2 linked regions of the Kluyveromyces lactis genome follow. The protein of the gene in region 1 purifies or fractionates together with the protein of each later gene. This does not show direct contact. Links are inferred from orthologs where the notes say so. Each region holds a gene or a part of one and is shown in the gene's direction. Other genes may lie near its edges.

What was found. Proteins that work in one complex are often made in the same cells at the same time.
Region 2: the proteins of PDX1 (region 1) and LPD1 purify together in Saccharomyces cerevisiae (affinity purification with mass spectrometry; 3 studies listed by BioGRID). This does not show direct contact. The link is inferred for Kluyveromyces lactis from reciprocal best matches to the Saccharomyces cerevisiae genes PDX1 and LPD1.

Annotation. Positions count from the first base shown.
Region 1 is NC_006041.1:864,714-867,364, forward strand, and holds PDX1 (Pdx1p), read left to right. Parts: upstream 1-890; coding exon 891-2,108; downstream 2,109-2,651. Other genes in the region: XKS1 (xylulokinase), read left to right, coding at 1-324. UniProt on the Saccharomyces cerevisiae protein: Required for anchoring dihydrolipoamide dehydrogenase (E3) to the dihydrolipoamide transacetylase (E2) core of the pyruvate dehydrogenase complexes of eukaryotes. This specific binding is essential for a functional PDH complex.
Region 2 is NC_006040.1:950,997-954,145, forward strand, and holds LPD1 (dihydrolipoyl dehydrogenase), read left to right. Parts: upstream 1-1,052; coding exon 1,053-2,534; downstream 2,535-3,149. Other genes in the region: KLLA0_D11143g (uncharacterized protein), read right to left, coding at 56-101.

The DNA of each region.
Region 1 (2,651 bases):
CCTAATAGAGCCTTTTTCGTCGGTGGTGCATCAAAGAACGAAGCCATCATCAAAACGATGGCTAATGTCATTGGAGCCAAGAATGGTAACTACAGACTAGAAACTGCAAATTCGTGTGCTCTAGGCGGTTGCTACAAGGCGCTATGGTCCTTGCTCAAGGAGCAAAACCCCGAAACCCCATCGTTCGACCGATGGTTGAACGCATTCTTTAACTGGGAAAGAGATTGTGAGTTTGTTTGTAACTCGGACGCTGCCAAATGGGAAAACTACAACAACAAGATTCGAACTCTAAGTGAGATTGAAAGAGAAGCGTCATCACACTAAATCAAAAACGCTGTTAGATGAACCTCCAATTGACCGTGACGCATCAATAGCCATGATGCAAGTAAGTAAGTAAGTAAGTAAGTAGGCAATCAATCTTTGTACACATGATGAACCTCTCAAAGACATTACCCGGAAATCGTTATCCACTGTTTGTGAAAAAAAAAAAAAGTGTTATCCCACTAGAGACGACACAGTCCCCCACCCGACGGTTTTATACCGTTGAGATGAGACTATGGGAAAGGTTTAGAAATAAAGTATATATGTGAAAGATTGAATTGTCCAAGTACACAGAGCTTTGAACAAAGTTCAATTGAATACTTTTGTTGTCAATTGTTTCTGGGAGAAAGACGATTTTATCGACAATCTATTGGTAGAAAAAACGAAGTCTGTAAATTGGAAACCTATATTCGTCATTCAGCGAAAGAAGGTGGTAATTAAAAGTATCATTTACAATAGATAAGGACGACACAGATCAGAAAAGAAGCAAAACCATCCTTTGTTAGGCCTGTACGGAAGATATAGGAGAGAGACTGTAGTGTGTTTGTTGAAAAAACCTGTATTCAATAATGTTCCGTTTAGCAATTAAAAACAGGGCGTGTCTCCGTCAATTACACCAATGTAGAACTATGTTGAAGGCCCAAGCCTTTGGGATGCCTGCCATGTCACCAACCATGGAAAGGGGCGGTGTCGTTGATTGGAAGTTCAAAGCTGGTGATACTTTCTCTGCCGGTGATGTGCTCTTGGAGGTTGAAACCGACAAGGCAACCATTGACGTGGAGGCACAAGATGACGGTAAGCTTGCCAAAATTTTGAAGGAGAACGGTGCCAAGGATATTCCTGTCGGGGAACCCATTGCATACATCGCTGATGTGGACGATGATTTGGCCACTTTGGAGTTCCCAAAGCCCGTTGAAGCCAAGAAAGAATCAAAGCCAGTTGAAACTAAAAAGGAGGAGGCCAAACCAGTGGAAAAAACTGACAAGAAGAAGCAAACCAGTGCTTCAAAAACACCTTCTAAGAACGGCAGTGTTCAGGCTAATGCATCTCAAACATTATTCCCATCTGTGCTATCACTACTAGAGGAAAACAATATTTCAACTGCAGATGCGTTGGACAAAATCAAGGCCACTGGTCCAAACGGTAGAATCTTAAAAGGTGATGTGCTAGCCTATTTGGGTAAGATTTCCCAAGATTCGTTGAACAAGGTAACCGAGTACATCAAATCCCATGAGAAATTGGATCTAACCAACATCGAATTAAGACCTGCTAGAGAAACTGCAGCAGCAGCAGCAGCAGCACAAGCTGCTAAACCCGCTAAACCATTACCTCTAGTACTAAGCGAACAGATCACACTCCATGTCCCAGAAAACGTCACTTACTCCCAACTATCTGCTGCGATAGCATCGTACGTCAAGGAATGTTCATTCTTGGCACACGACGAACCATTGACCAATGACGCATCCGAACTATACGACCCATTATTCGAAGAGTTACTAGTACAAGAACCAACAAAACCTCGTTTCAAGGTCACTTATAACATAGTAGACTTGGAACCTACACCAAGACACCGTACCTCTTCACCACAACCAGATATCTTTGATTTATTATCTGGTACAACAACGCAAGAACTACAACAAGAGGCATCCGCAGTATCCAAACAACAACAAACACGTCACGAATACGCGTTGAACGTTTCCGTCGCCGTTGACGAATCGTTAACGGATGCCAAGCAAAGAGCAGAAAATTTCGTTGCCCAACTATCTAACTTGGAATTGTTCCAATGAGTAAAATTACGACAAGACATAAAGAGGAAAAAAAAACTAGAAGAAGCCGAAGCCAAATCTTCTTCGAAATATTCATGCCCCGTCCGCAAGCTGTATAGACTGGACTTAAGAGCCGGCAGATATATATCTATATTATCAGTATAATAGACAAAAAAACGACAACTCAAGAATTCAACCAAACAGGCACTTCAGACTTCTTTATGGTCTTGGCACAGTAAAGAAGATCAAAAAGTAACATCAAAAATTACTGCATCATATTTTCGCAGAATACCAACCTGGCACCAGTGCCCTATTCAGACTAAGCAGCTTTCCATTCCAAAAATACCAGTAGCCTAACTAAGCGAGATGCAAGCGAAATGCGAGATGAAATGAAACCCAAATAAAAAAAAAAAGACACAAACAAACAGGAACAAAATTGCGCGTTTTTCCCCACAGAACAGCACGTAATGTGTACCGTTTTTTGTTTTTCGTTTCAAGTACAAAAAAAACAAAAAACGGTACGCTGTTCACGTGTCTGAAAAACCAGGAACCGTAAAAGGATAT
Region 2 (3,149 bases), on another chromosome or scaffold:
AAGTTGAGAATTAAAGGGAAAAAAAAGGGTTAAGAAAATCCGTCCTTAAACATACACGAACTGGCCAACGCCGTTCCAATAAAAATAGGTGCAAATCTCATATCTGCGGCTAATGCTTTGTTATTACTGTTGCTACTCTATTCTTTGTTCTTGCTAACAATCTCCCTTATCCTTCATATATCATGATTCATTATTCTTTTATATGGATATCATATCTCATAGTGAGTATTTGGCAGAAGGAAAAACTGGTAATCAAAAAAAAACAACGTGATCATAAATTAATAAACGTTACCCGGTTTGAATCACGTGTTAATCACGTTCTTGATAGCCCGCCCTGCGCCTTTCGTGTCGGCCCCCGTACGGCTTCCGTTTTTTTAGGTTCGTTTCGTTATTTTTCAACTGATTTCATTCAATAGTTTCAATTTTTGTCGATTCCGAAGGTTTCCCTGTTCCCCACGTCAAGACAGTTGCAACTTTTTTGTGATGAGCCGTCGCCTTTATAGATCACACCAGCGAAACAGCTTTTCACAAAGATACTTCTGTTCACTGTGTTATCCCATTTCGATAATTAATAGTAATGACTCTGGCAGTTTGGAAAGCTCAATAGATTGATAAAAAAAAAACTGGTTCTTCAACTTAAAAGTTGCGCAAAGGAACGATGAAATATAGATCAGTTAAATAAGTGGTCTTCTCTGGAATACTACAGTATTTTTTCGAATTACAATCCGTTCAATTATATAATTGTAGTTTATATATGGTCCGTACCGTAGTGAATCACCAAACCCTACCGCATCATGCTGGTATTTGAGTCCTGTAGATCAATTTTCTTGCTATTTAATTGATCAAACCGTCTAATAGTTGTATTTATTTGGGATCGTAATCTTTTTTTTCCATTCCAATTGACATTAATATAAAAGGAATTCACTAGGATATTTTATATTTCAAGAAATATATCAAGTGAAACCACAGAGAAAGGGTTCAGATAACGTATAAGTAAGAGGTTAGAGGATTATCTTATTTATCTTGTTTATTTATATCCGCCCTAATCAAAGATGTTGAGATTCAATTCTACCCGTTCCTTTAGCTCTTCTGCTCTTTTGAAAACCGTTACTAAGAAGCACGACTTGGTCGTTATTGGTGGTGGTCCAGGTGGTTACGTTGCTGCTATCAAGGCTGCTCAACTCGGTTACGATGTTGCTTGTGTTGAGAAAAGAGGTAGACTAGGTGGTACTTGTTTAAACGTTGGTTGTATCCCATCCAAGGCTTTGTTGAACAATTCTCACCTATACCATCAAATGAAGACGGATGCTAAGCAAAGAGGTATTGATATCAACGGTGAAATCAACATTAACGTTGCTCAATTTCAAAAGGCTAAGGACACTGTCGTCAAGCAATTGACTGGTGGTATTGAAATGTTGTTCAAGAAGAATGGTGTCACTTACTACAAAGGTTTAGGTGCCTTTGAAACTGACAAATCCGTTAAGGTTCTTCCTGTGGAAGGTCTGGAAGGTTCCGTTACTGAAGATCACCTCTTGGAAAGTGACAGGATTATTGTTGCCACTGGTTCTGAAGTGACTCCATTCCCAGGTATCACCATTGATGAGGAAAGAATCGTTTCTTCTACTGGTGCTCTTTCCTTGAAAGAAATCCCAAAGAAATTGGCTATCATCGGTGGTGGTATCATCGGTTTAGAAATGGGTTCAGTTTACTCCAGATTGGGTTCTAAGGTCACTGTGATCGAATTCCAACCTCAAATTGGTGCTACCATGGATGGTGAAGTCGCTCAAACTACTCAAAAGATTTTGAAGAAACAAGGTCTCGACTTTAAGTTGAGCACCAAGGTCTTGTCTGCCTCCAGAAACGGTGACGTCGTTGACATCGAAGTCGAAGGTGCCAAGAATGGTAAGAAGGAATCTCTCCAAGCTGATGTCTTGTTGGTCGCTGTCGGCAGAAGACCATACGTCGCTGGTTTGAACGCTGAAAAGATCGGTTTGGAAGTCGACAAGCGTGGTAGATTGGTCATTGATGAACAATTATCCACCAAATTCCCACACGTCAAGGTTATCGGTGATGTTACCTTCGGTCCAATGTTGGCTCACAAGGCTGAAGAAGAAGGTATCGCTGCTGCCGAATACTTCAAGGTCGGCCACGGTCATGTCAACTACGGTAACATCCCGGCTGTCATGTACTCCCACCCAGAAGTCGCTTGGGTCGGTAAGACCGAAGAACAATTAAAGGAAGCTGGTATTCAATACAAGATTGGAAAGTTCCCATTCATCGCTAACTCTAGAGCTAAAACCAACATGGACACCGAAGGTTTCGTTAAGATTTTGATCGACGCAGAATCTGAACGTTTACTAGGTGCTCACATCATTGGTCCTAACGCTGGTGAAATGATCGCTGAAGCCGGTTTAGCATTGGAATACGGTGCTTCTGCTGAAGACATCGCTAGAGTTTGTCACGCTCATCCAACTCTATCCGAAGCTTTCAAGGAAGCTAACTTAGCTGCTTACGCCAAGCCAATCAACTTCTAATTTTTCTTGATAAAGCGAAGTGGAAAAAAAAAATTGCGGATAATTGAAGCTGCTTGATATCAATAACTATAATAAGCTACTTAACAATGGTACGTCGTATCCAGTTGTCGTCTATTTTTTTTTTTATTTATCTCGCCATCTGAAGCATCTTTCTTCTTATATATTCCTCGAATCATTCTTTGATTTCAAACTATACATTGAAAAGTAAAGATTATCAAAAATAAATAGTAAACACGTATAATATATTTAACGTAAATGATATGAAATGTTTGTAAACGAATTCTCAGAACATTCTCAGCTTGTGTGTAATAGGCACCACATCGTTATATCAAAAAAAGAGATCATTGGTCCAGAATGAACAGGGGAAATAAAAAGATTGGACGAGTCCGGAGTCGAACCGAAGACCTCTCCCATGCTAAGGGAGCGCGCTACCAACTACGCCACACGCCCTAATTTCTTATTAACAAGAGTTTTGAGTGAACCATCACCACTCCGTGTAAACATGATTTTCTATTTATATCATTACGTTTCACAATACTAACTTATAACGCATTTTGACCATTCAAATCTTATTCAGAAGCAAGAAAGATGGAAACATGGTCAGTGAAGTACCCT